4 linked regions of the Rhinolophus ferrumequinum genome follow. The protein of the gene in region 1 interacts with the protein of each later gene in a pairwise test. Links are inferred from orthologs where the notes say so. Each region holds a gene or a part of one and is shown in the gene's direction. Other genes may lie near its edges.

Evidence for each region.
Region 2: the proteins of GOPC (region 1) and RHOQ interact in a two-hybrid assay, tested with the Homo sapiens proteins (2 studies listed by BioGRID). The link is inferred for Rhinolophus ferrumequinum from reciprocal best matches to the Homo sapiens genes GOPC and RHOQ.
Region 3: the proteins of GOPC (region 1) and MYLK interact in binary tests that used the Homo sapiens proteins (3 or more experiments, as listed by UniProt). The two-hybrid records come from large-scale screens. The link is inferred for Rhinolophus ferrumequinum from reciprocal best matches to the Homo sapiens genes GOPC and MYLK.
Region 4: the proteins of GOPC (region 1) and MYOCD interact in binary tests that used the Homo sapiens proteins (3 or more experiments, as listed by UniProt). The two-hybrid records come from large-scale screens. The link is inferred for Rhinolophus ferrumequinum from reciprocal best matches to the Homo sapiens genes GOPC and MYOCD.

Annotation. Positions count from the first base shown.
Region 1 is NC_046286.1:68,269,940-68,277,013, reverse strand, and holds the start of GOPC (Golgi-associated PDZ and coiled-coil motif-containing protein), read left to right. Parts: upstream 1-4,070; 5' UTR 4,071-4,291; coding exon 4,292-4,579; intron 4,580-7,074.
Region 2 is NC_046296.1:39,054,046-39,061,853, reverse strand, and holds the start of RHOQ (rho-related GTP-binding protein RhoQ), read left to right. Parts: upstream 1-4,802; 5' UTR 4,803-4,922; coding exon 4,923-5,064; intron 5,065-5,630; coding exon 5,631-5,689; intron 5,690-7,808. UniProt on the Homo sapiens protein: Plasma membrane-associated small GTPase which cycles between an active GTP-bound and an inactive GDP-bound state. In active state binds to a variety of effector proteins to regulate cellular responses. Involved in epithelial cell polarization processes.
Region 3 is NC_046285.1:48,354,276-48,361,806, reverse strand, and holds the start of MYLK (myosin light chain kinase, smooth muscle), read left to right. Parts: upstream 1-4,512; 5' UTR 4,513-4,673; intron 4,674-7,531. UniProt on the Homo sapiens protein: Calcium/calmodulin-dependent myosin light chain kinase implicated in smooth muscle contraction via phosphorylation of myosin light chains (MLC). Also regulates actin-myosin interaction through a non-kinase activity.
Region 4 is NC_046304.1:7,061,274-7,068,584, reverse strand, and holds the start of MYOCD (myocardin), read left to right. Parts: upstream 1-4,304; 5' UTR 4,305-4,598; coding exon 4,599-4,653; intron 4,654-7,311. UniProt on the Homo sapiens protein: Smooth muscle cells (SM) and cardiac muscle cells-specific transcriptional factor which uses the canonical single or multiple CArG boxes DNA sequence. Acts as a cofactor of serum response factor (SRF) with the potential to modulate SRF-target genes.

The DNA of each region.
Region 1 (7,074 bases):
TGGAATGGCCATCAGAGCTGTCATCGTGTTACCCTTGATGTCCTGAATGTCATCAAAATGTCTTCCTTTCAGTATTTCCTTTATCTTGGGGTAAAGAAAGAAGTCATGGGGCGCCAGATCAGATGAGTAGGGAGGGTGTTCCAATATAGTTATTTGTTTACTGGCTAAAAACTCCCTCACAGACAGTGCCGTGTGAGCTGGTGCATTGTCGTGATGCAAGAGCCATCAACTGTTGGCGAAAAGTTCAGGGCGTCTAACTTTTTCACACAGCCTTTTCAGCACTTCCAAGTAGTAAACTTGGTTAACTATTTGTCCAGTTGGTACAAATTCATAGTGAATAATCCCTCTGATATCAAAAAAGGTTAGTAACATCATTGCCACAAGTTCGCGAACTTAATTGTCAGATCTCATATAAATGATCAGGAGAATGAGGCCACTAAATCACTGTGGAATGCCCACACGTACTTCATTAGTATGTCTATCACAAAATTTCAAATTGTTAGTAAATATGAATAAATATGACATAAATAATACATATGAATATGATATATTCCAGAATTTTTCCCACATATCTTAAGCAAAATGTTAATGGGTTTTCCTTGGGTTTCTTCTAATATATAAAACAATTTATTGTGACCAATAGCACTTACTTAATAGCTTTTCCTTTTCCTGGTAGGGACATTGGAGAGTAAATGATACTTGTGAAGCTTAATATAGGGCCTGGTATACAGTAGAGTTCATTAAATGGTAGTCCCCCTTTCCAGTCCAAAGTAGAACTTCTATGTCCATTCGCTACAGGGACTTAATGATGCTCTAAGAAATATTTGAAGTCTAATCTCACAGCTAATTACCAGTACCTACCAAAGAAATCTTTAGCATCTTTCTTCTTCAGTTTCCTCAGTCCCCACCCTATTTATTCCTAGCAATACCTTGTGGTGAAACTGTTAGGTAAGTTCCTAAAACAAGACTGTCACATTTAAGTTATGCTAGAAATTTTTAATCATGTAAGCATGATTCCTGAAACAGTTATTGAAGGTTCTGCCAATGCAATGGCAAATATAAGTATAAAGATTTTACCTCTAGGAAAATAAATCCCATAAGTATTGAGATTAATACAATTCCCAATTCCAAAGTAGGTCAAAATAAAAAATGTAGGTAGAGCGCACAGCCAACAGATGGCAGCAGTTGAACATCAAACCCTGCTTTTCACAGGCATGTTAAATTTAACTTGCAGAAATGCAAAACCCCAATCAAGGTGGGTAAAAAATGTCTATAGAGGGCACCTCGTATTTGAATTAGTCACATAGCACCAAGATAGCAAGTATATAGGAATGTGGTAGTTGCTACATAGTATGGTAATGAGAAGGGACAATATGAGATGAAAGTATTCTGAGACACAGGATGTGACTTGTTGAAGATGAAAAGATTGGAAACAGAAGCTAATTGGATTCCACAATCCTGAAAATGGGGGTATTCACCAAGGATCAGAGCACTGGAAACATATAAACACTTAAAATACATTTCAGTACTACCCATACAATATAGCAGGAAGTTGATTGATATATTTTTTAATAGATTCGCATATGGCTACAACTGGGAAGAAATTGTTTCGAAAAACCTTTTTGACTGATTTGCCAATTTATAATACTGGTAACTTATACAAGAAATAGATTCCCTCATCCTTCTATAACCCGTGTTTAACTTTCAAGAGTTTAGAAGAAAAGATACCTAGAGTGGAATCTCACCTCAGTCGGCTTTTAGCTGTATTACTTTAACAAGATACTTAAGTTCTCTGTGACTCATCTATAAAAAAGTGACAATAGCTACCTCACAGGATTTTGTGAGAGTCAAAGAAGTAAACAAATAGCACTTGTTTAACACATAGTATGCACTGCATAATGGAAAGCTATTATTGTGATTCCAGGTTATGTGCCCCACCTCATTTTAAATTATTTGCTCCAAATTCCTGAAAAATACATTGTTAACTATATTATGCATAAAGTTATAAGAAAAAATTTCTGCGAAGGTCCAAATTAATTTACAGCGACTGGAAAGTAAGAGAAAGTGACAGTATTGCTAGTCTGCTAATGGCTGCTGACCAGTTAACAAAAAGATTTCTCACATCCCTGTTTTGCCTGTTGGAATTTCAGATTAATTTCCAGGTGGTTATTTCTGCAGATTATTTTAGCCAGCCACCACCTAACTCCAGGAGCCTCCTCTTGCTCATATGTGAGCTTTCTAGACTGGTGTCCTAGCAGACATTTCTTCATGTGGACTCTGCTATCTCAAAACTTGCCCCCGGGACTTCACCTTTCCCCAACTTTTTGCCTACAGCTCATGTAAATTCTTTCAGACTATCTCCTTCTTCCCCCTCTCCCATATTTGATGTATAAAAACACTTGCAAAACTCTGGGACGACAGACATGTTGTCTTTTCTACCTAGCCATGCTGCTTGCTGGTGGTTCAGACTCCATGCTCCAAGACCAGTCTTTTGGCTAGCATGTTTGGGTCAATGAAACACTACTTAAAGAAAGACCTTCAGCCATGGAAGTTAAAATTTTTTAGTTTAACAAGAGAAGGTGGCTGGGAACTTGGTAGCTATAGTAATGATGTTCTTGCAAGTACTGCAGATGAAAATAAAGTTAATTGGGAAGGTAATGGAGCAAGACACAAATTTTATGTTATTTCTTGTGTGTTAAAACCTATATGAAGGTGCCTATTTCAGCTCAAGGAAAGGATCTCATGGTTAGTTTTGCTTAGCTAAGTTTGCTGAACCAAGCCAAAGGACTTTATTGACCGATGCTATCCAGTCTGCCATACAGTACCCAGAGAGCAAACTAAAGCTATGATTTCTTATTCTTCATTGGCATTGTGTTGGCAAGGGGTACACAGTGCAGGCTTTGGTGGTAATGAACTGGAAGAGTCTGTCCCATGAACAGATCACAGAAGAGTCTGTAGCCTGCCAGTAAAATTTCCCCCTAGGCAATGGAGAGGCAGTTCCTATCAACCTACACTATTCAGATTGGTTTTTCCTTCGTTTTCCAAGACTGGGCTACTCTTGAGGTGGAAGGGGGTTGAAAGTGAGTACGCAGAATAGCAAAGAGCAGTTGCTAAACACTCTCAAAGGTACTGCAAAATTCAAATTAAAGTTGTAGCTTTGAGGATTAGACTCACTGGCCTCTGAGCTCTGCTTGAGTGTTACGTATTATTCCATTTTGTATCCCCAATGCCTCAGCAGGGCTCTGCATTCAATATATTTATGAATATATAGATCGTCATAATTTTGTTTTTCTGAAATGTCATGTGTGGGAACACTGTACCAGTTTTTGAAATAAACACACCGTTTTAAGTAGTTTCTGGAAATGACCTGTAGTGTAATAATAAAGAATACCAAATGCCAAGCACTGAAGCTAAGCATTTTACATTACGGAGTGAATTTTGGCAACTGAGGCTTCAAGATTGTATTCAAGAGAATACAACTAAGATGGCACAGCTGATATGTTACAGGGTTTAAGACTTGAATCCAAGCTTGCCTGACTCTTAATCACAAGACAAAACTATTAATTCAGCAAAACCTGGTCAACCACAGTCCTTCAATGTGCAGAGTCCACTGTGAATTTAGGGCCTGGTTTACCAAGATGAGCCAGTGTGTCCACCCACCCCACCCTAACCAGGAACTGGGATGTTCAAGGTAAAACGTGGCCTTTGCGCAGGCTCACACGCCCATCCTCACTCTCCCTTCCCCGCCTACAGGGCGTCACCGCCACAACTTTCCCGGACTTTAGAATGGCTCCCACCCACTGTGAAGTCAAACAGGCGGAAGTCGTTCCTCTGGGCGACACATGGACATCCTTCTCTTCCTCTGGCCTTTCCAAATTGGAGGGGACACCATGCCCCTCCGTTTCTCCCGCATTCAAGAGGGAGTTTGCCAGTTGTCAATATGGCCGCTGACGGGCCGGTCCCCTGCAGAGGCTTTTCATAGGCCAAGGTCGCATCTTAGCCCCGCCCACTACGTCCCTCCGGCTGCTCCCGCCTAGGTCTTGGCTGCGCATGCGCAGTCGGGGCTGACCGGGTGGTGGGGCTGCTGGATTCTTCCGTGTGCCACCGTCTCTTCTTCAGGGTGGCTGCTCCTGCCACTTCGGGGCTGCATTGCCAACGTTAGCCGCGCGAGGGGAAGGGACGGGACGGAAGGAGCGTGCGTGCACGGGGATCCTCACAGTCCCAGCAGTTCCTGTAGCGCGGGGTGGGCGGTGGGGGTCAGCAGTAGTCGGCAGTGGCCCTAGACGGCGCCATGTCGGCGGGCGGCCCGTGCCCGGCAGGAGCCGGAGGGGCCCCAGGGAGCGCATCTTGCGCCGTGGGCGTCTCCCCCGGTGGGGTATCCATGTTTCGGTGGCTGGAGGTGCTGGAGAAGGAGTTCGACAAGGCCTTCGTGGATGTGGATCTGCTTCTAGGCGAGATCGATCCGGACCAGGCGGACATCACTTATGAGGGGCGACAGAAGATGACCAGCCTGAGCTCCTGCTTTGCGCAGCTTTGCCACAAAGCCCAAACTGTGTCCCAAATCAACCACAAGCTAGAGGTGAGCTTTGGGCGCTGGACGGGGCGGCATTCAACTGCAGTCATCAGATCGCGTCAGTGAAACGACCCTAGAAAAGTGCCCCCTGGGGCACCTGGGCTTTCAAATGTCAGGGAGAGTGCGTCTGTGTCTGTGTGAAGGAAAAGAGGGAGGTGAGGTTGGAGTGGAAAGGGGGTGTAGATCGACGTTAGGTCTCCCTGGGTCCTGCCATCCACCTTCCTTCTATATCTAGGAGGAGGCAACAGGAACGAATTGCACCAACCTACATATTACATTAAGCTAAGATTTAAGCTCAAAGATTCTGTCATAGGAATACCTTCGCCCATCTTTTAACATTTGGGTTTTTAGATATACTTTCACATTGATAAACTAGGTTTGTATATCCAGACAGATACTGTCCTGATTATTTTTAACCATTTCAGATGAACGTCTGTTGTTGCACACAGACATACTATTCCCTGCATGCATGAACTATTTAGGGGAATTTGATAAAAGCGCTGAGGAAAATTTAGAGGGATAAACACAATAGTATCAATGTCCTTCTCGGTTTACAGTCCTTAAATTACAGGCGACACCACCAGAGCTCCCTACAATCATTCAAATGACTTCTAACATTGAGATTTTGTTTGTACTTGACTATATTTCCAAAAGTCAGGATTTATTTTTGAGAGTGTGTGAACGATGATCATTTGCTTTAGTCTCTAATCTTGGTTGTGGTTGTGGGTGGAGTGGTGGTGGGTACAAAAAACAAAAACAAAAAATCTACCACATTGTGCAGAAAATTAAATTAGCGTATTATTACAATATTTAGAAATCATCATAGGTTAACATTGCATAAAGAGCTTTTTCTAACTAGGTTATTTTAAGTGTAAGAATGGGTCTTTCATTTTAAAGTACATAAAAATAAGATAATCAATGATGTGCAAAGCTCTTTGAACATTAGGTTTCCTAAGAAATCATCATTGCTACTTACCAGTTTTAATAAGAGAATGCCCATTGGATTCATATCAATATAAATATCAGATATGCATCCTCTCCTTGCATAGCCATTAGCATTCTTTCTGTTTCCTGTTAGTCATGAAAAAGTTGGTATAATTTTTGATTAGTATAGAATTGCATATCAGAAATTTTGTGACTTCTCCAATGAAAGGACTGTTAATTTTTTTCCATCTGTTTTGAAAAGGTTGGAATGGAAGTGCTAATATGAAGCCAATCACTTTTTCTTCTAGATATATAAAAATGTCTCTTGATTTCTTGATTAGTGATAGTTTCTAGAAGATAGTTATTTTTCCAGGTAATGAAATTGCATTTGATGATTTTTATTAATAGTACTCTAGTTTTAAATAACAGAGCAAGAGTAGGTTTTGCCACATGAGAACTTTCATATCATTTACAACGGAAAGTATCTACTAAGGATAAATAGCTTTTAAAAAATGAAACAATATCTAATTCATGTTTTAAATGACTAAGGAAACTTTAACAGTGATATTTTGATGTAAGATGTAAAATCTAATTTTGGGAAAAGGATAGTTCTCTGAGTAGGAGGTGGTGCTTAATTTCTTTCATCTTTAATATTTTACATGAGGATTCAGAGCTATAATAAATTATTCATGTTCTTTTTTCCAGAAATTATAATTACGTATTCTGACTCCATGTCCTGACTTAGGAAGTAGCGTTATTTCTCGAAATAAGAAATGCTAGCCTATCATAATGTGAGCATACATTTTTTTAACATGCTTGAAACCCTTGATATAAATGTCTTAGAAAATGGGAGGGGAAGAGGCTAAACATGATTTTTTTGTTCGTATGTTTTTTCAGTTACAGTTGCTCATCTCTTTGTGGGGTTAACCTTCTACATTTAGTAGTTTCTACAGTGTTTATGAAATTAGTTGTGTATTGCTGAGGAGAGCTTCATTGTCAGTAGTGCCTTTTCAAAGTAGATCTGCTGTTATATCATTTGCAAAATTTCAGAGGTTGCTCTGTATAATGTTATCAATCTTCTGAGGTTTTGAAATCTCAGAAACACATGTCCATGCTTTCTTGCCCTATTGTATTTCTTAGTAAGTGGATTGAATTCTGTTGTTCGAAAGATTTGGACATGAAGGCATACTGTTTGAGGCCACTTACGGTTTGATGTATAACAAACGTGCACCAAAGTTTAAAGTTCACTGGTTTTAGTGATTAATACCTTAAACCACATTACCATAATAAAATATTTTTGTAATAAAGTCTCAGATATCTCCAATTATGGATAACTTACATTTCAATTGGTCTTGAGTGCTCTTCCAGACTGCCCCTTCTTCTACCCAGTCATCGTGTCTTTAGGTAGCACCATGTTTAATATTAATGTCGTAGTTAGGAAAACAATGTTGCTGCCAAAAAAAAAAAAATCATAGGTTACATTTAAAAATTAAATATAAATGACATCTATGACTGCTTCTTGCCATAAGTTATATTTGGGGAGAGGGATGTTTGTAAGAGAATGGGGAGGGCAACGA
Region 2 (7,808 bases), on another chromosome or scaffold:
GGAGATGGGAAAGATTTAAAAACTGAGGAAGAAGCCCAAAGAAGAAGTAGAAAGGGTAAACACAGAGGAGATTAAAAAGGAAAAGAGAGAGGGAGAGAAAATTGATGGAATCAAAACATAGAAGCCTTCGAGTTATCCTAGGTCTTCTCCTGCTGTGTTATCAAGCCCTGAAGATTCTGATATCTAAATATCCCTGGTACCCACGGCCGCCTCTTCCTTTTTCTGAACCATGCTTGTTCAGACCCTCATGATTTTTCTCTTCTTCACTCTCTCTGCCTTCACTTTCATCCCCTCAAAATCCATTTTCTACACCACTCCCAGAGTGACAAAATTCTCTATACATTTTCTTCTCAAATGACAACTCTAAACTTGTCATTTTCTTACTGAAACACTTTTGATGCTTCCTTGATACGGAAAATGGGAAATAACATGAGCTTTGAAGACAGATCATTTTGAAAACTAGCCCTGCCACTTAACAGCTGTGGGACTGGGAAAATTTCTTAATCTCTCTGCACGTCACCTATCTGAACTCCAGTGATAATACTATAATGGTCAGGATTTCTTTGGTTACCAGTGACAGAAAACTAACCCATACTCACTAGGCAAAAAGAGAAGGGGGGACTTATTAACTCAAGTGACCAACTGCAGAACAGTAGCGCAGCAGGGTCTTGGGAATACCCAGAAGTAGGAACTCACAAATGGCCTGTATCTATCTTTGGAGCTGGTTAGAAGGGGGCTTTATCTCTCCATTTTTTATTCTCTCTGCATTTTAGCTTCATTTTCTTGGATGGGCTTTTTTATGAATGGCTGAAACATGAAACATGAAAGGCCAACAGTTTCCAGGCTCACATCTTCCAGTTCAGTAAGTAAAAGAGGGGAGACTCCTGTTTTGAATCTTAAATTCAAACCTTTCAAGGATGGCTCAGACTGCCCCATCTTAGATCAGCTACCTACCCCAGGGCTCCTCAACAGGGGTCGGGGGCAGGCTGTATAAGAAGATGGCGCCTTCCATTTAAACCACATGATCACAGAGACTAAATTAGAAAGAATATTTAGCAGAAGCAAATGGTGCTGTTCTGGACAGACAAACAAATACTCTCTACAAACTTTATCTTGCATGTTGCTTTGGAGGTGAAACAAGATGCCCTATAAAAGCGAGCATCAAATACTCAGGACAGTGCCTGGGCATAGCATACAGCCAAGTACACAGCAGATGTCCTGCAAGTTCTCCTTTCCTCCCTTCATCACATTCTCATTCCCAGAGCCACTGTTTACCTAGATAGTGCCTTTGTCTTCTGCTAAGTAGAAAACGGTGCCCCTCTCTGGGTGGACGCAGCCCTATGGGCACAGGTTTGACAAACCAGAAGTCATATCTGTGATAAGAAAAGAATGCTCCTTCTTCCAATGAACACAGCCTTGAGCCAGGGTTATGGCTTTGTGGATGGATGTCAAGTGGGCCAGATTTCTCCCTTTACCTTTGTACGGTGCTCAGACTGCACAGACCAGGAGGGTTCCTGCACGCTCCTTAACAAAGCTTTCAGACGCCCAAGGACTGGCTGCATTTCAGTTCCCAGTTAAACACAAACCAGTTCCTCTGCACCACTGATCCTGCACTCTGTCCACCCTAGATGGCTCATCATTCCCAAGAGGTTGCGTGCTTGTTCCTTCTTGCTGTGGTCTGGGGCTGTGTTTCCCAGGCACTCTTCTCTTACTCCTATTAGCCTCTTAAACCCCAGCCCAACGACACCCCCTTGTGCAAATCCTTCCTGAGCACATCCAGAGCCAGCCAGGTACTAACAGCCTCCCCTTCACTTCCAAAAGCCTGTCCTTTATCCTCTACCACACCACTGATCACATTATACAGTAATTATCTGCTCATCAGTTCCTTTCCACCTCTCCCTCCAGCGACTGTGGCTTTCCAGCTCTTTGTCCCCTGCCCAGGCATAAAGCCTGGCATCTAGCAGACCCCAATAAATGCTTGTGAAATGAAATACTCAACGAAGGGTAGGAACTACAGGAAAAAGAGAAGGCTAAGGAGAGGTTTCACTGTCCTCACACAGACCGATCAATGTGTTTTGACATTTGCATTTGACACAAAGGAAGGAAATTGAGCACAGAGCCTATAGGAGGCTTAGAAACAGTTGCTTTCTGTTCCCCAATCCCTGAAATTTGAGGACTTTTTTAATCCACTTGAGACACTGTCTTCTTTGCACATAGGAAGGTGAGATTTATGTGAAGATCTGTTTGGTCTTTCCAGCTAACCCATTCATGGGCCCACCTGGGTCATCCAGGATAATTCTCCCCTTCCACTTCACACACACACTGGTGGAATCAGCCCAGAGCGCTAAGCATTACTGGCAATCAGTTTTGGCTTTTCTACGGGCCAAAGGAATGAGATCACTCTCACCAATGAAGTCACCACTGCATGATTCATCTGACATCAGTTCCTCACGTGGGGTGCTCTGATATTCCCAGAGCTTCTCCCAGAGCATCCAGGACCTGGGGTCCCTGATATTTTTCAAGGTTCTGGAGCTGATCCTCCAGCTCTCTGGATCCCTAGTAAATGTCTGCCCCTCTGAGGACTAGAGTAAGAACTGGGAGGCTGGAGCCCTGAATAGGAAGTCTCCAGGAAGCCTCCATCCTCCAGGCCTGGGGCAGACCTCCTCATCCCTTATAAAGGCCTTCCCCATGTCTCCATCAACTGCTTCTCCTCTTGTTCCAAGGCTATTACTGGGAGTTCTCAGAACACATTCCAGAGGGCCCTAGAGTTTCAAGGCTGAGACCTGATCTTACTCTTATGGATGAAATCACATTTATAGATGAGAAAGCCGTGGCCTAGAGAAGTGGCATGCTTAAGGTAACACTGTTAACTAGCATCAGAGATGGGACAAAATGCACTCTCCTGGCTGAGTGTACTCCAGTAGCCCCTTAACCTCTTCTGATAGACCCTCCTTTCAGAATAGTGATCCCAGCAATTGCCTGAAAAATGGTATTGCAGGCAAAGGGAGCCAGTCCTCCTTTCTTCCCCTCTAAGCAGCAGCAGAAACTGGTCTTAAACCAAGACCTGACTTCAAAGCTGCCTTTCTTAACCTGTCCTTCAGTACATACAAAGTTATCTTTCGGATTCCTTGCTTAATCTAAGGCAGCAGGCATTGCAAATGCCCACACTCAGATGCACATGGAGGGGTCGGGTGAGATGTGGCCTGGGACTCCACAGGGAACTTCCAATCATCCAGGAAATCTTCCTGCGACAACAGAAATCAGATTTCCGGTTTGAGAGTTGAGGACTGAAGAAGTGGGGCGTGGGGATATAGCAGTGAGTATTTCGCAAAGTGTGCTCCAAGTCCTTAAATGCTGGAGTTAGGGAAGCCTTTGGGATAACCACTTCAGCTCTCTAGGTCTGTTTGCTTACCTACAACGTAAGGGAGATCTAAGGAAGATGATCCAGTTGACCTGTGTGCTGCTTCTCAAGGCAGCATTTTCTAATCCTGTGAATCGATGATAGGAAGTGATTTATCTCAGGTCAGCTGTGGGGGGGGAGGGGGAGAGGAGGGAGGTGTACTCACTCTCCCCTACCTCACTCCCCTAGTGCCTAATGTTCAAAGCAGTACTGTTGGCCAGTGAACTGGATCTGGCCAGCCAAGTGTTTCCAAGCTTTGCCCAGGAAGGGGTTGCCACCTGGATCACAGGCCAAGTGTTAGAGCACAAGAGTGTATCACTCCTCAAGGATCACAACCTAACAACACCTTCCAGGGACACTGCAAGGGGGCTTCAGAGAATGTCGCCTCCAGGGGAATACAGGTACATTTGTCGCATTCAGAGCCAGCAGTGTCTCCCTTTTCTGGCTGGTTGCGGATGCTTCAGTGATTCAAGATGCTGTAATTTCCTTAGTCACCAGTTTCATAGTAAATGATTCAAGCCTCTGCTGTGAACGGCATGGGTGATGGTGGGAAGGGGGCCCAAGCAATAATCGAAGAGTACCTACTTTCCAAGTCAGGGACCACCACCACTCCTCTCCCATCACCCCGCGCGCCTTCAAAAAAATTTTTTTTAATCTTCTTGTCTTTTCTTCCTTTCCTATTTCTAGAGCAGTTGTGCATTTAGAGGCCGATGGGATGGATCTTGCCTACCGGGTGGAGTTTAAATCTATATGTACAATTTTGCATGAGTATTGCGTCATTGGAGTCGTCGTGGGTCCCCCATGAGGCCTCCACGTCTTCTCCCAGCAACCGGGCCTTTGGACGCTTCCGGGCGCTGCGGGCACTTTCGAGAGGAACCCTCGGCTCCTCCCAAGCGCTTCCCTCCCCACTCCCTCCTCCAGCCTCACCTACCTCCCCTCCCTCCTCTTCGGCTCCTCCTCCACGCCCCCTCTCCGCTGCCCTCGCGGGGAGTCAAGCTAGGGTGAGCCGGCAGGGCCGAGTGGCTGCTGCGGGCGGGGTGCAGGGCGCGGGGCGCAGGAGCCCGCATTTGGGGGAGGTGCCTCGGCCCGCCCTCTTCCTGGGCCCTGCGGGGAGGGGGCCGGGGCCGGCGCGGCGCGGGGCGGGCAGAGCCGCCTGGCCCCTCCCCTCTCTGCCCTCCCTAAAGTTGCGGTCTCCCCCGGGGCCGGACAGTCTTATGATCCAGCGGATTCTCCTGGGGAGGCAGGACTGGGGAGAGGGCGCGGGAGCCGAGCGGCGAGGGCAGCGGGCGGACTCTGCGACCGGGGCCCGGACAGGGATCCGCGCAGCAACCAAGGCGGCGGCAGCACATCGGGCCCGCCGCCTCCTTCCCTCCAGCGGGGGGAGCCGCTGTATGGGGCCGGGGGGGCGGTCCTGCTGCGCGGAGCCGCGGCGGCGGCGGACCCCCCAGGCGGGCTGGGGCTGAGCCGGGGGCCGGGGCGGGGGCTCCGGGGGGACCATGCCCGGAGGCCGGCTGGCTGCAGCATGGCTCACGGGCCCGGCGCGCTGATGCTCAAGTGTGTGGTGGTCGGCGACGGGGCGGTGGGCAAGACGTGCCTACTTATGAGCTATGCCAACGACGCCTTCCCGGAGGAGTACGTGCCCACCGTCTTCGACCACTACGCAGGTAAGAGTCGGAACTGCTGACTAAGGGGCCGCTCCCCGGGCCGGGAACTTTAGAGCAACTTTGGAGGAGCCCCCTCGCTGCCTCCCCTGGGCACTCTCCTTACCCCTCTCCCGCCGCGCCCTCTGCCAGGCGCCCGGCCCCACCCCCAAGCTTTGCCTCTAAGCCATCCCCTTCGCCGGCAGCTCGGACCCGTCTTCCTATCCCCCACCCCCACCCCCGCGCCCAGATCCAGCTCCCCGCACTTCCCAACCCCTTTGGCGTCCTGGGCCGACCTCCTTGACCTTCCCACAACCGCCTCCCCTACTGCCCCAAACATTTGGGGGTACTGGGCGAGAGAGTCGTGGCTAAGGGACTTGGGAGAAGGGAGTGAGCAGCTAGGGGCCCCATTGCACCCCGAACCTCAAGCCACTTCACAGTGAGTCGGGCGCAAGGGAAAAGGGATGACATCTCTTTGCGAGCACCCTCTTGCCTCCAGCTGGATTGGGAAAGGAGGGTCCTGGTGGGGAGCGAAATTGCTCCAGAGTAATTGTGAGCTTTTCTCTCTGCCCCCGCTTCTGCCCTTGCAGTCAGCGTCACCGTAGGGGGCAAGCAGTACCTCCTGGGACTCTATGACACAGCCGGACAGGTGAGTGTCTTGGCCCCTGGCCTACACCCCTTTCCTTTTCTCGATTCAGGGTGGCTGCGAAGGGCCTTTGGAAACTGAGGTGTCTAGGAGGGAAGGTGTGCCTGCGAGGGGCCCCTCTGGATCAAGTCTTTTTTCAAGTCAGCAAATTAAGAAAAGGAAAAAGACCCAACAACCCCAGACTAGCCCACCTCATATGAACCCCCGGGCTGTGAAAGTTTTTGCCTGTGTGTGCCTTCTGTATGGTGCTTGGTGTGTGGGTCCCAACTCCTGTTGCAAAGTGGCAGCGGCCAATCGTGAAGCGCCCTTATTTTTAGTTGCAGATGACCAGGTCTCCCCCTCACAGCCTCCGTCTGGTCCCTCATTGGTGATTGGTCTGCCGCCGGAGGAGCCTGATTGGTGGAAAATGGCATCATCTAATATGATGGGAAGGCATTTGGTCCTGGTTATGTTTATTACAACATCACTGCACTCTGGGACTCCAGTCCCTGAAAACGTAATTTGTGTTACCAGGGGACCACAGGGAAAAAAAAGAAAAGAAACAATAACCATCTAGCCACACTCTGGAGCAGGGAGGGGCAGGAAGGGTTAGGAATTCACTGTGAGTCTTGGAAGAAGAGCTTTATTTTTCATTTTCCCCTGGAAATGCCAGGTCACTTTTGTCTGGGTTTTTTCTGGGAGAGGTTATTGTGCAGAAAGAAAATGGCATACTCCTCCAGGTAGCCTCTGACCATTATTTGCAAGTTAGAGGTGGCTCCTAAAAGATGAAGATGTCTCTTCTCTCTCTCTCTGTCCCAGCTTAACCCTCTTCCCACACCCACTTTTACTGTGAGGCTAAGATGATTGTGTGTGATGAAGTTTTGCAGAATCCAGCCCTGTGATTAGGTCTGAAGTTTCCACCTGTCATACAGACTTGAGTCCTTGAGGACATATGAGGAGCTGAGGGGCTTAGAGAATGTCTTTAGGAGATGTCCAGTAGTAGTTTCCTTTCCTGTAAAATGAGGCTTAAAAGACTCAGACTATTCTCCTGTGCAGATATTATATGCCAGATGCTTAGCACTGAGTCTAACACATACTAGGTTGGTGCTGAATAAAGGAGAGCTGTCCTTTGTGGCTCTTCTGGTTTTGGGTTTCAGAATTGTGGTACCAGGTTAGATTCTGAAAAATGTCTTGTGGGGGGAGGGGTGCCTTGATAGCCTTGATACGGCCTCTGGTTTCTGAACAATTAAGCTAGAGGAGCATCTGAAGATAAACTGTTGGCAGTGAGAGGTGCCTGAGGCTGCCCCCTTTCACCAAACTGATTCAAGTCAGTACAGTGAGTTCTTCAGGGCCCCTTTTCGTTGTGTCTTGTAGTTGTCACTCCTTCTATCAGAAGGAATGGAGGGGTAAAGAGGCAGAACTTGTTCAATCAGATAAGACCAAGTTTTCAGCAGTACAGTTGATAAACAACAGGTTGAAATTATTGGTTGAAAAGAGAGTGATTTTAAAAAATTGTCTCTAATTTTAATTTCTGTCACTCTCCCTCTTTCCTTTTCTCCTTTACTTGTCACTATGACCATTTTTGGACCATGAGCCCTATTCAGCAGGACTTGTATATGTCAGAGCTATTCTGTGCACATTCAAATCCAGCTAATATTTATTGAGTTCTTTCTGCATATCAGGCTTGGGAGAGCCACATGCAAATATTATTTTCTCCACAAAACAACCCTATAAGATAGGTGATCTTCTGTGTTTGCAGATGAGGAATCTGGGGCTCAGAGAAGTTAGGTTGCTAACCTAACCTAAGGTCACACAGCTACTGAGAGGTGTTGCTGGGATTAGGACCTGAATCTGCCCCAGTTGGCGGTGGTTATATACACAGGAAACTATGGGAGGTGCTGAGATACCACTTGGGTTGTCTGGATTGCTTGTGTGTCTGTAGATATGGTACCTGGAATCTTTACAGCCATTCTCTGAGTGGGGGTTATATGCCACCCCTACAGAGTAGAGAACTCAGATCCAATGAGTCACCCAAATGTGGGCCCACTCACAAAACCAGGGCTTTCCATATGTCATCATAATTTCTGTTTCCCGTGGAGATTGTAATATATACAAATCGGATCAACCTATTCGTTAGGTTCAA
Region 3 (7,531 bases), on another chromosome or scaffold:
CCAATCATCCAGGTGTTATTCCAGCACAGAGCTAATGTTTTCCCGGGAGAAACAGGCCATGGGAAGCTGGCGTCATCTTCCCTAAATCACATGGAGAGGAGCAGGGGCCACGCTGAGCAGCCAGGCCTGCGAGAGCTTTGCTCACAGTTCACCTGCATCCGCTTTCTCAGACTTGAAGGGGCCTCCCAGCACCAGGTCCTCTGGGCCTGTTGCTTCAATTCATCAACATAGGGCCAGCTTTCCCAAAAAACCGAGGGGCAGTGTGTGCTTCAGGGGACTCAAGAAGGGATGGGACATTCCAGTCTCAAGCTAGAGAAGCTGTTCAGAGCCCCCTTCAGGGCAGGGTGTGATCCGCAGAGCGCGAGGTTCACTTCCTCCCTAGTCCTGCTTGTTCAGAACTGTCCTAGGTTTCTCCAAAGACTAGAAGAGGGGCGGGGCACACTGGTGACCCTTCTCTTTACTTCCTCTCCCTCCCCTTTCTAGATCTTTCCTCAGCCCTCTGACACTCCAACATCAGTAGCACCATACCCTGTGGGCTGCCCCAACCCACCCGCTAGCCTTCCTGCCTGCTGCCCCCTACTCGAGACTCATGTTTCTAAATAACTCAAATGACTAAATGTGGGCTGAATTCGGGGAGGGAGAGGAAGAATGAAGTAATAGAAAGAAAAGGAATATATTCCATTTACTGAATGATACGCTCCATTAATTTTGCTATTGATGTTTGTCGCTCTGCTAAGTACATCTTAAGTACTTACTCCAATGCCTGGCACACAGTAAGTGCTCACAAAACAGTAACTATTACTGGTTGTGTCTTTTTCTCCTTTTTCCCCCCTAGGGTTTCTCCTCAGCTCTTTCAGCCCCAGCCCCTTTCTAGACAGACCTGGCAGCTGGCCAGAGGCTGAGCAGCTGAAATAACTGCATAGGTAGGTGCCTGTTACTAGCACTGTCCTAGGCTTCAGGATCGTCCTGGCCTGTGCTGGTATCCTGCAGGTGTTCCGTGAGGACCAGGTGCGCCTGCCGGGTTTGGCTCTCAGGCCTTGAAGCCTTGCATGGTGGGCCCAAAACAGCAGTCTGTGGTAAGGAGGGCTTTGCCTCCTACCTGGTGTCTTGCAGCATCTCATTCCTGCTCTGGGCGTGGCTCCTTCTGCTGGGACCTTTCCTACCTGCCCAGGTGTGCTAAGGAGAGCTGGCAGCAGTCCTGGAGACACAGGTGCGCGAGGGCAGGAAGGGTCCGGAGAGGCCCTTCAGACCATGTGGGAAAGACTAGAGAAGGGAAGGGACTTCCTTCAGGTCACACAGCCGGTTTGGGGTGCAGCCATAGTAAGCACTGGAGTCGCTGAGTCTTCTGTACTGTTTTCCCCTCTGGTGCTGCCTCCTGATTTCTCCCGTGCCGGCCCCTCCTCGGCCAAGGCTGCCTCTATCCTCCGAGCTGACAGAAATCGTAACACAACAGCAGTGTGAACAATAATAGCCACGTGTATTGAGCGCTTCTTCTGTGCCAGTGAGTGGGCTCAGGCTTTTCATTCACCCTGCTGGCCCTCATAGCAACCCTGCAGATGGGCAGGAGGTGGGATGATACTAGCCCCATTTGACAGATGAGTAAGCTAAGGCTTTCAGAGATTGTCGCTTCCCTCAGGCCACATGGTTAGCGGTGAAGAAATGCAGTGTCTGACTGCAGAGCGGTCTGTACCCCGCTGCGGGGCATCGTGGGGGTGTGAGCCACGAGTACTGTTCCCGTGGCTGCGCTGATTTCCCAGGCTCCTGCGAAGTGAGGTGGTGGGGCTGCCCCTACCTCCTCGTCTCGTGGGGTTTCTTTGGTATGGCTTAGCAGACTGGAGGGAGGAGACCTGGTGGTGGAGAAGGGGCTGTGGATAAACACACGTGTGACCCCAAACTTCCATCTGCACGGATGATACCTGATAATAAAATGAGCGAACTTCAGGATTGTTGCTAGACTGTGATACGAACGTGCATTTTGCTAATTTAGTTATCATCGGGGTTTCTGGCTTTGATTTCTTTTTGCCTGTGACTTTTATTGCAGGAAGCTTCTCTCAGCCTGTTCTCATTACATCCCAAATTAAGCAAGAATCCCAACAGGAAGAGAGCAGCTTCAGGAGACCAGGCCGCACTCGTTCACACTGTGTGTGCGGTTTGATTCGATCTGTGTGTGTGTGTGTGTGTGTGTGTGTGTGTGTGTGTGTCCCCTTTTGAGAAAATTTAAAAATAACTTTCTGCCAAAGATGTGGGCACTCTGGATTGTGTTGCTGAGCAGACGTCCTCCTCCCACCCGCGGTCTGCTGCTGTGCTGACGGGGCAGCTCATCTGCCTGCAGAAGCCCGGCCCCTCCTTTCATGTGCTTTCCAAGAGGAAAGGCCCAGGAAGCCATGGGGAGGGAGAGGCTGCCGGGTGCTGAGGCAAGAACTCAGCTGTGGGGACAGAGCGGGCTGGCTTTGCATGATTTTACGTGGGAACCCAGGGACCTGGATAGAGTTGCCAGAAGGAAACCAGAGAGGGTACTCAGGGCAGAGCACCATTATGCCCGTTTCACACACGGGAAGACTGAGAAGTAAAGAGTAGAAAGAATGCATGAGTTACATGGCAGGTTTCGAGCTAGACTGGCACCATGTGTCTACAACCAAATCCCCATGGGCCCCAGAGGGGTAGATATTTTATTACTGTGACTTGTTCCCCTACTGCTTTCCCTACGTCCTCTCTCTAACGTTCATGAGATTCCCTAGCCAACAAAATTAAGTGGCATCATAGTTTGGAAGTGATTTTTTTTTTAGCCCAAAGGTCTATTCATTCATATATTCCACAGATTATCTTTTGAGGACTTACTATGTGCTCCTCAGTATTTGAGGCATTGGGGATATAGTAGTGAGCGAAACACATAGGACCTGTAACCTGCGGGGCGTGCGTTCCAGTGGGGAAAACAAAAGTTGATCCTATAACCAACCACACAGCTCCGTGGCTGCCAGCTGGGATGTGTGGGACAAACACCACAGGAGGGATTCGCTGTGTGCTCCTAGCAAGGGCCGTGGCCTAACTCCCACGGGGCCAGGAGTCCCTGATGAGTGTTTCCAGTCAGCCGTCTTGTACTTGGGCAGTTGTGTAGTTTTTGTTTTTGAGCTAAAGTATAGGCATTCTAAAATTGTTCTTTTAAACATCCTCTCAGGCTCTGGTCCCTTTTGCTGATCTTTCAGGGGGGAATTTAGCATCCAACGTATTAGCTATTCCTACTTGCTTAGTGTAACCCACAGGTTTGATAAATGCACCTTCCGAGATTTTGTCCAAATGATTGTCCTCAGTTCCTTCCGATCTCACATGACTTTCCAGTCCTGTTGCCCACTACCAGGGACCACCGTCTAGGAAGACTTACATTCTATTCGTCTCCATTCCTAGTGATGAACACCATTGATTTTTTTGGATTTATTTCTTCTGTTATTCGCCATTGAAATATTCAGAATATGTACCACCTGCAAGGTCTTCCAGAATCTGGGGTGTATATTATGTTTTGGCCAAGGATTTAATTGACTTAAAGGTGTTCTCTTCATCAGTGTCCGTCTCAGGCTTCAAAGCTCTCTGGTCCACATTTGTCCAACCATTCCCTTTAGAAGAAAACATGGAATCAAATTATGTATTGATTCACCCACTGCCCTACCTGTCCCTCAAAGCTGCATACCACTACTCCTAGAAAACCACTTTTCTCTGTCCATGTATATCTGAAGGAGGACAGAAGTGAGAGCGGATGGTGTGACAGGGAGAGGAGGGACACAGGCTAAAGCAACGGTGCTCGAGGTGTGCCCTGTGCCAAGGTGAGCGTTGCACAGGATGAGAGAGTCCACTGGAACTGTGGACATCCTTGTGTCCCCTGGAGGAAAGGTGCTGGGCTGGGCGTCACCTTGCCACCGCCTTTTAGAGGTATGCCCCAGGGACTGTTCCGGGAGCTCCCCAGGGGTCGGGACCAGGGCCTTTGGATCCTGTGCATGACGGGAACACAGTCTGTAGGACTGGTTCAGACCTCAGCCCAGATTCCCTGAAAAACAATTGCAGCCTGGAGTTCCCCCTTCCATCTGCTCTCTGGGCTTGCCTCCCGTTCAGGGATCATAAATGGGGCTTGCTCAGTTTAAGGAGGAAAAAGCGTGGTCGCTGGAGACAAATATCCCACGAGCCCTGGGTGGTAATCCTAGGCCGGATGTGCCAAGGGGTAAGTTGGGGTTCCAGGCCAGATGTGGGGGTGTGCCCAGCCCCTCCAAAGTCTCAGCACTCTCCTTGACAGCGTCCTCCCTTTACTCCACACTCAGATTGGAATCTGCAACGCTGTAGAAACCCGTAAGCTTCCACCCCTGGTTTCCCCGGGACTCCATTGAGAGCCTCCGCAGCTGGCAGCCAGGGGTTTCAAAGGTCACCCCAGCTGGGCGGATTAAAACAACAGATCTGCCTGACCCAGTGAAGCTGGCTGCCCAGCGGAAGGCAAGTTGCAACATCTGCGAGCAAAATCAAACGCCCTTTAACTTTTTCAGTCAGACCCTGGGCTCAGTGGCCTCCCTGTCTCTCCTTTCCTTTCTTCTTTCTCGGCCGGACCTTGGACAGGAATCTGTGCAGTGCAGTGGTAAAGCGTGGCTGCCCCAGCGACCCGACTCATGTGAGTTCTGCCCAGGGGAAGAGGCCAGGTAAGGCATGGTCCGTTCTCCAGTGTGTGGCCCTGCACCACTGTGTCCCGTGGGTCACAGCACATCAGCCTGGCACAGCCCACAGCTGAGGAGAGGCCTGCGTAGGGATTAGGGGCAATTAGGGAAATTGTCAGGATTTGAATGCACAGCAGAGGATTAAGGGGTGGACAGGGGAGAGTCATTGCCTGGGGCGTTTGCATCTGGGTGGTTTTACTGCAGCTGATGTGTGCTGTGGCAGGTCGCTCACTGCTGAGAGCTAGGCTTCCAGTGCGGAGCCTGCCAGGAGCCCTTTCCTGTAGGGAAGGCAGGGTCTGTCCAGGATGCCCTGCTGCCGGATCAGGTGCTTCAAGACTGCGATCGTTTCAAATGTATGCACTTTCGGGAGGGAACAGGATGACAGCTGGTTTCGATAAACTTGTTCTGCCATAACTTGATCCCTGATTTTTAACCTCTTTTTCTGAGTCTTTTTGCCTCACAGTTGCACTCCGTTTTGGCATAGTTGAAAGTGTTTCTTTCTGGGTTCAAGAGACAATTTAAAGTGCTTCTGATCAAATTAAAGTCAAATTAACTTAGTGCTGCTTTGAATGATCAATATATTCTGTTACTTGTGGAAACAAGTAAGATGTTCAATAAACGTATTTGGACGTGAGCTTTGCCCCAAGTATTGTGTGTGTATGGGTGTGTGTTGGGGTGGGGAGGCCTGCTTCCAGCTCTCAGACCGCTGTTCTTTTTGACCCCACTCCTCCGTTTTTCTCTCTTCGTACTTTTCTGTCCTTCGATCTGGGTGTAACTGGTATTGAACAAAACCCCCTAGTTGGTATGTTTAATTCCAGCCACTGAGCACTGCTCTGCTGCTGAGAAAATATTGCAGAAGTTACCCAGGCCTCTGGTCTTCTCAATGGGAATGTGGTCACCAGGCTGGAAGAGGGATTAGAAGGGAACAAGGATGGTTTGATTTTTTTTTTTTTTTTTGATAGAGCATTCCAAATATGTCAGTAACTATTAATTGGCAGTGTGGACGGAATCTGTTTATTCTGCTGATGGCAGTGGGCGGGGCGATGGGCTGAGCGGAGCTGTTTGGTGTGTCTGGCCCGCCTGGGACGGGGCTCTGGTCCTGCTTGCATGATGGTTAAGTATCTGCCCCCTGCAGCCACCTCGCAGGGGACTGGATGTCTTCTGGCTGTATCGACTTGCCTGTTTGTTCTGTTTCTAACCATAACGCCAGACCTCCCCTAGTGCTGGGTGACTTCTGTCTTCTGTGTTCTTGAGACCAAGGACGTTTCTTTTGATGACAGTCTCTGGGGTCTTCGGGAGGTTTTAGGTGGACCCCAGAAGATCTTGGATCAAGAGGATTTGTAAAGAGGGTCATGAGCCTGATGTCACCATGCGTAGTTTCCGGCTTCCCAGAAAGCAGAGGCAGAAGAGCCTCGTGTCTTCCAAAACCAGGCCTGAGAGTAGGGAGGCGACACGTTCCCTGCCCCCCACCCCTTTTTCTCTCTGCAACTCCTAATACTCCTCTCTGCAATAGCCTCTGCGTATTTCATCCTTTTTACTGGGAATAGCATGAAATGGCTCAGCAGCGTCGTGGGGCCCTCCAGGAAACGCGCAGGGTTTGACTGCAGTCAGACTTCAGTTTGATGTCCACCTCTTAGCTGTGTGACGTCAGACAAGTGCAGTTGGCTTTCTGAGCCCGTGTCCTCATTTGTACAAGGAGCATAGTCAGAACTGCCTTGCAAGGACTGTGGGAACCGAGTGAGATTAGTGCCCAGCATGCTGTGAGGGGCACATTCTCTGCCCATGAAACGGGGCTGGAGAACGGACACGCCAGTCCTTCTTCCCCCCCTTTTTGCGGAATTCTGCCATCTGCCTCCTACCGCTGTTCTGCAGCAATCCCACTCTCCTACCCTTGTCCTAAAGATAATCATGCTGGCCTGGGCGTCTTGCTATCCTTGGTGAAAAGGGTGGGGACACTGGTTTTCCTTTGGGAGCTGAGTGACGATGTTGACAGCTACCACTTACTGAATCACTTTTATGCTGTACTATGTGTTTTGCATACACTCTCATTCAAATCCTCCCTTCAACCTTGCAAGGTTGATATTATCATTCCCATTTTACAGAAAAGGAGACCGAGGCCAAGAGAGTTGCAGTACCTTGCCTGGTTCACAGCAAGAAAGTAGCAATGCCCCTGGATTTACGGCAGGGTCGGACCCTCATGATCCCTGCCCCCACCGCTGGTGCTGTCGGCACAGAGTGTATCTGTCACCTCACTTCAGTGGCAGTGGGGGAGGGCAGAGGGAGCAGTATCCCCTCTGGGGGACCGTCCTAGGTAGCTCTGCAGGATATAAGAACCCCATTCCTTCCCTACCCACGTTACCACATTCAACACACACACACTTCAGTGTCCCTAGCACCTAGCTTGTCACATGGTAAGATGTTCAATAAATATATTTTAATTGAGTGAATGAATATATCCTGATTCTTGCCATTAAAGATATATCATGGTTACTGTGAAATGGTTCTGCAAACACATACACCAACACACCAACACAATGATATAAATATGGCAACATGCTAATTACTGGATCGAGGTGATGGGTATTTGAGGTGCTCATTTTATTTTTCTTTCTACTTTTCTGTATGTTTGAAATTTTCCATAATAAAACTTATTTTTAGTTAAAAAATTTTATATTATTAAATTCCTGTCATTGTTTACCTTGTAAGTATGCACTCATATAACTGTCTGATATTCTATTGTACTTAACCAATTCTCACTGTTAGATGAGGGTTTTTTTCTATTTGTATTTAACTGGATTATTTTCCTGTTTCTTTTGTTAAAAATAATGTGATTACATTTTTAT
Region 4 (7,311 bases), on another chromosome or scaffold:
ACAGAGAGTTGCTCACCTTTTAAAAACTGATACATTGAACATTATTACCTGGATTTCAAGTTTGTGTGAACAACTGGAAGGAATGGCAACAAGTGTCTGTAGCCCCTCCCAAATGGCTATAGTCAACTAGAGCTAGTCACGGTTGGCCCGCGTGGACAAGCCATGTGCTCTCAGTTTGCAACATACCCCCACCCCACCACATTCTCTCTTATTCCTGGTCCTATCGCTTGAGTTTGCAAATCTGCCTTCATCCTGTATGTCCACCAGGGCACTTGCCAAAGTGACTTGCCAAGATCTCTATGTACATTTTCAATGAATGGATGAAAGAGGAACAAATGGTCCCCTGAAGGTGCTCATCAGACATGGGTAAGAAAACAAGAAAACAGACAAGCGGGGTGATACCAGGAACAGACACTTAGGACAAGAGGATGACAAAACCCAAGAAGACAGTAATGACCTTGAGTAAGGCAAAGGGCTTGTGCTAAGAAGGGGAGAACTGGAGGTCCTGAGGCCATACCCACGAGCTGTCTCTCTGCTCACCACCCCCTGCTCTGTGACCCGTAGCTGATCTCATGCTGACCCATAAGGAGGTTCATAAGGGGTCAGAGTTCAAGCTCACTACCCTGAGCTGTGCTAGGGACTCGCGCCTACGGACAATCACTCTCAGTTGGCTAACGGCCAGGGACCACAGCTGTGGAAGGCAGAACTCTACAGTGAACCTCAATGAGTTGTATATAATCCTTATATAATCCTTCAGCAGAGGAAGGGCTGGCGAATGTGACAGGTGACACTGTCATGATTCAGTTGTGTTAGATGAATGAATTAAAGAGATTTTGCAGGTCTCATTCCTAATTATCATACTAATTAGGAAATTAGTATGCTTTTGAGTTAATTAAAAGGGAGCCTACCCTGGGTGAGTCTGACTAAGCCAATGAGCCCTGTAAAAAAGAATTCCCAGAGAGAGATTCTCCTGCTGTCCTTGAAGAAGCAAGCCATGGTGGGTTCTAGAGCTGCAAGGACCTGAATTCTACCAACAACCCGTGGGGTTGGAAGAGGATGCTGGACCTCGGAGGAGCCCACAGTCCCAACCAACACCTTGATTGTAGCCTTGTGAGATCCTGAGCAAAGGACCGGCTAAGTCAGGCCCAGGAAACAGTGTGATAAGAAATGTGTGTGCTGTGTTAAGCTGGTAATTTGTTACACAGCCAGAGATAACTGAGGGCAAAAGAAAGGCAAGCCATAACAAAGGGGAGGTTTCAGGATTGCTTGGAATCAGCAAGAATGGTTGGCGGTAGGGGGAGGGTCAATGAAGGAGCCTAACGCATGCCAGCAAGAATTGTTCTGGGCCCTCCAAATGTATTGTCTCATTTAAACTCTCCAATTCTTCTGGGAAGCATTTCTAACTCCATTTTATGTGAAAATGCTGAGGGTCTCACAGGACTTAAATAACTCATCCCTGGTCACAGAGGCAGCTTAGATTCAAGTGAAGCTACTCCTGGTGCTAGAAGCTCCCCTGTCTGCTCTACCTCACATCCCAGGCTCACTGCAGGCCTCAGGAGAGCAGGTCACAGAGCACCAAGGCAGAGAAGTGCTGCCCGGGTGATCAAACTGTAGGACAGAAGCTGGTGGTGGCATGCTGTTGCTGCGACTGTCTGCTGCTCCCAAAGCACAGCAGGCTATGCTGTTCCCCTTGGAGACACCCTCATCTAATTCCACCCCAAGTTTTTTTTTCACACACACAAAAAAATGCTCGCATGGAGAGGGGCAAGGATGAGCTTCTATATGAGCATATTTATATCCGGAGATATTCCATGCCATAGGGGGTATAAATCCCAGAGGGCAGACATCAGCAACTCCACAGCATAATGGGAAAACTGAAGAGGGCTATGGTTACCAGCATTTCCCAAATGGACTCAGAAAAGAAGCCTCTCTCTCTCTCTCTCTCTCTCTCTCTCTCTCTCTCTCTCTCTCTCTTTCCTCCCCCCTTCCCTGCCCACAGAGGAAAAACAATTTACTCCTGTCCAACTCATCTAGGTCATGCAGACCCTTACATTCAATGCTGGCTTCAGCTGTTTTTATCAGAACTTTCACTGAAAAAACTGTTCTCCGCCAAGTTGCCTTCTCAGCTCCGCAACCCTCAGAACAAAAATCTGTTTGGCTTTCCTTTGTTTTAAATGTTACTCAGAATAGTTTTTTCTCTACTCAGATAATTCAGCAATGTTTCCTATCTCACCAATCTCTTCTCCAAAGAGTATCTCCCTGCCCCAGGCATCGGCAATCTTGCCAGGTTGGTTCCAGGCTCCTGTGTATCCCCATTTCCAAACCTCCCTCCACTTGACCTGTTTTCATTGAAGACCAGGAGCCTGGAGCTCAACTGAAGACTAGAACATGCTGGTGGAAAGAGGGCTCATGTTGTGCCACAGGCAGAATAGAGCCCCCTCTTTCCATGTTCACGTTTTAATCCCGGGAATCTGTGACTATGCTACATGACATGGCGGAGGTGAATAAGGTAACAGATGGGATTACGGTTGATGATCAGCTGACCTTGCACCAGGGTTTATCCAGGTGGACCCAATGTCATCACAAGGGTCCTGCAGAAAGGGAGAGGTCAGAGCCATACCACCTGATAAGAACCTGACACCCCGCTGCTGGCTTTGAAGATGGAGGAAAGGGCCACGAGCCCCGGAACGAGGAGGGCCTCTAGAAGCTGGAAAGGGCAAGGAAACAACGCTCTTCTTAGATCCTCCAGAAGGGAATGCAGCCTGCTAACACCTTGGTTGTAGTCCAGTGAGACCCATTTCAGACTTCTGACTTCCAGAACTGCAGGAGAATAAATGTGTGCTTTTTTAGGCCACTTGTTTACGGCAGGACGAAGAAAGTAATATACTCTATATGGGAATGTTACATGATCACTGGGGTGCTCGTGACCTCTCATCGGGCTGTACACAGCCTCCATGACTAGGCCACTGTTCCCAAGGGGTGCCTGGGTGGGCTTGCTCTGCCTCCTTTCTGACACATCAGGAATTACCGTGGCCCATCACAGAAGACCTTATTGATGTAAATGGATGGGCAGATCCAAACTGTGAACTCGAGAATCAGAGAATTCAGACAGAGGCCCAAACTCAGGGCATTAGAAGTTGTCCCCTCGGGTCCTCACCTGTCACCAACTGCTCTTTGAAGGGTTTAGGGTCTCCTGAGACGTAAGCAGGCATTTGCGTAACACATGATATCTGGAAGCCTATGTGCGTGTAAGATTGCAGATAAATTCAACCCAACCAAGTATATATATATGTACATATATACTTTGGTTTTTATTTTCTGTGCCACCAACTATTAAGCAGCTTCTTGAGAGCAGGGTCTTCATTTTATTTATCGATGAGCCTGTAACACCTGGATGCACAATAGCTCAGTGTTCGATTTGGAATGGATTTTTCCCTAAGAAGCACTCACTCATAGGAGCACTCACTCACAGGAAAAGCCTTGGAGCCTTTCCACGCTAAGCCCCACCCCAGCTCTGTCATCACCCTGCTGTAGAGACCCCTCCCCTCCCTCCTCGAGTCCCACCTTACTGAGAGCCCAGAAGGTCGTTCAACTCCTGTGTCTTGCCCCGAACGGAGAGCATTGTGTCCCGGCCGGATCTGCAGACACACTGAGTCATGCTTGTCCAGAAAGCGCATATTCCAGAAAAATGAAAGGCTTTTTATTTTCTCCGTAGACGTGTATCCGAGTCTGATATTGGAACTGAGAGATATATACAGTCTCTGCCTGTGCCCTGAGCCCCTCAAACAGGGAGAGAATGTGGGGACTCTGGTCTGTTGGAAGCTGTGTTTACCTGCAAAGGGGTCCAGCTTATCTGGTCTCTCAAGGCGCGCGCGTCCCTTCCCGGGTATGAGATTCCCGCCGCGCCCGCCTCCCAGGCTGCAGCCAGGAGGCGGAAAAGCCCGGGCGGTTCCCACCGCCCAGGCCCAGCCCCAACCCCGGGGAGACTCGCATGCCCGCCGCGCCTGCACAACGTGCAAGCTCAGGGGCTTTGCAGCCCTCCTTTCTGTCCTTCCGGCTCCTTAGCTCTGCCCCTCGCCGGTGCGGGACCCAGGCCCTGCCTCCCACCGCTGCGCCTCCGCGTCCGCTCAGCCCTCTGCAAAGAGTTAAGACCCGGTTCCCGAGACGCCTCCAGCTGCTCCAAGCGCCAGGTCCCCGCTCGCTGCTGCTGATTGGCTGAGCTCCTGTCAGTAGTAAAAAAGTATCAGATAGCAAACTTGGGACCTTCATAAAGGCGTGGTGGTGATACTCCGCAATCGCTGGCAGCCTATGACATCAGCCGAGAACGCCTGGGATGCCGCTGCCCCTGGCCAGACACAGGAGGAGGAGGGTCCTGCCGGCTAAGAGTTAATCAGCCCCGCACAGCGAGGGGGGAGCCGCCAGTTTTCTGGGGACACTGGTTTCGGTCACTGGCTGCCACTGTACTACCCAGGGGAGCTCACGAAGAGTTGGATGAATTCTGGTTTGTTAGCTGCGGTCAGCTGGGCTCCCGGGAGCCTGTTCCTGGTGGAAAACAGGGGGCGTCTGGCCAAGGGACCAGCGGCTCGCTGAGACTCAACATGACCCTCCTGGGGGCTGAGCATTCTTTGCTGATTAGGAGCAAATTCAGATCAGGTAGGGCTGAGGCATTTAGCATTCCTTCTTAAACTTTCCTCTTCTGCACTTCTCAACTCTGGACTGCTTTCCAATAAATGTCTCAAGGCCGGCCGTGGCGACTTCAACCTTGTTCCCCAAAAGCACATTTGGAAGTGAAAATCTTATTTGACTTTGGGGGCCTTTGATGTTTTCCATTTTAAATATTGTGGGTTGATGAGTGTGGTTTTTTTGTTCGGTGAGGCCAATCTTTTCCTTCTATTTGTTTTTTCTGTATCTGCGAAGAGAAAATTTGGAGGGGTGCATCCAAAAGGAACAAGTTTGAAAATGAACAAATAAGGGATTTCAAGTTTGTGAGCTGCATAATATTAGTTATAATTGCTGAGAAGAAGAACCTATGCTGTGTATTAGATTACAGGGGTCACTTAAAATGTAGCTAATCCAAACAAATATTATTTCCCAAAAAAGTCACCCGGGGGAAGTAAAAATAGCAAATTTGGAGCACACCAAGTATTTAAAATGACATCACTGTAGAAAAAAAAAAAAGAAGTCCAGTGCCACAAATATTTTTTTCCCAAACCATCTGATATTTATAAATGGAGAATTTCCCCCCAAATTTCTGTGTTAGTAGCGCGTAGAGAAACTTCTCCAAGGACGCTGAGTGAAGGTGAGTGGAAGGGAGCTGGGAACTCAGGAAGGGTGGAATGTGTAGGCGCCCATGGAACGTCTGAATGTGTGGGGCTCCTTAAGTTCTTTCTCCATAGCTGTGTGTATAATACTGGTTTTATAAAAGCGGTAACAAACCACTCAATAAGTGGCAGCACTCCTATTTCGAAGATGAATTACTGTATGAGAACTCGGATGTGAACATTCCGCGTAACAGGTGTGAGAAGGATGCTAATGTAGTTGGCTAAGTTTTCCTGAGCCCTTCTAAATGGGACCACTCTGTTTTACTGAGGAGGGGTGTTTCAACAATGACAAGAGTGGATGCTAAAAAATCAGGGTTCTGTGACTTCCTTAGATGCTCCTGGCCTTTAGGTGTCTGTGGAGTTTGTTGGAGATTGTCTTCGGCTCTGTACTATTGAAAGGAGATGAAAACTTGAGAGCTTAGGGGGCCACAAGACTCAGTGCCCTGACGCTCCAGGGTGAGTCTGCCAGCCACTGGGTTTGGCTGTGGTTACCTCCTTCCTTTCCTTCCCATGGCGAGGTGAGGTGGGTTGGTCTGTTAATCCCGGGGAAACATGCCACTGCTTTGTAATTTGGTCAAAACCGCAGGCAACACTGCCACCTTTCTGAAGAAGAGAGACTGCAGATTTGTTTTGCAAGAAGCTGCGTTGGTTTCAAATGCACCCTTGCCAGTTCATGTGGGGGGCAGAGGAGGGACAGCTTTGTCTCTAAAGGGATTTGGTGAGGGTACTGGATAGAATGGCAAAACAGACTTATACAAATCCTTCCTGCCAAAAGTGCAGACCAGAGGGAAGATAATATTTGCACTGCTTGGAATTCCTCTCTTAGTGGACTGGTAGGGTTTTGGTGTCTCCCAGGTAGGTCCTAGAGCTTCTGAGAATTTCAATTGCTGCCTCATTTTTTTAAAGCTTGGACAGGTTTTTGTGTCACAGGAAGGGTAGCTTCAGGAAACATGATGTCAAAACAGACACAGGCATGCTTCATCCTCCTCCTTGGATAAATAGGGAAGCTGAGCTCTGGAAATGGACAAAGTAGTTTGATCATCTGATGTGCAAGAGGTTGATAATCTGAAAGAGAAGAAAAACAAGCAGAGTATAAAACTGAGTAAATGTAATATTGAAGACAGTGATTATTCTTTCTGGATATAATTGCAACGATAGCTGCACCAGCACGGAAGTCTGGCTGGCAGCATGTTAAGTAAAAGGCCTCTTCCTAAGAGAACCTGGTTTACTTTGTGGCTAACAGTGGATAAGGAAGTCTCGGTTTTGATTTCTCTCTCTCCCAACCCACCCCTCCCCCTGTTTTCTTCTTTTTTCTTTCTCGAGCTACTCAAAATGTAAACTTATAAAACTCTATGTCAGTGCTAACGTTTGCTTTGATAGACCCTGGTGTGACATATTTCATTACAAATATTTCAAAAAAATAAAGGTAAAACTAAATTGCTCTCTGATCATAGCGAGACTCCCTATTTGATAGGGCTTGTTTATTAGTGAGCAGATAACTAACTACTTCAACTCTGAAATTGACAAGTTTGGCAACGCCGTCCAGCCAGCTTGATGTACGCTGTATATGAGTGACCTTGTTATTAAACACAAAATCATGCCGCAGGAGCAGTAAACTGTGAAAGTTTACATGTACGAATGTGTTTGGTGATACGTACTCCGCTTATCTGAGAGACCGCAGTGTTTCACAATTGAGTGTGTGGATCTAGAACCAAACTAGCTGGGTTATTAACAAGCACCTCTACTTGCTAGCTGTATAACCTTGAACCTTAGATAAACTACATAATTCTCTCCGCCTTAATTAGCCTCGCTTGAATAATGAGAATGATTATAGGGTTGCTGTGAGGATTAAATGTGATTATACAAGTAGAGCATTAAGGACAATGCCTGGCACTTAATAAGCCCTCAAAAAATATTGTTTTATTATTAATATTGTTAGGCAGCCGGAGTCTGCGTTGGTCACTTCCTCTCTGAGTCTTGCTTACTTAAT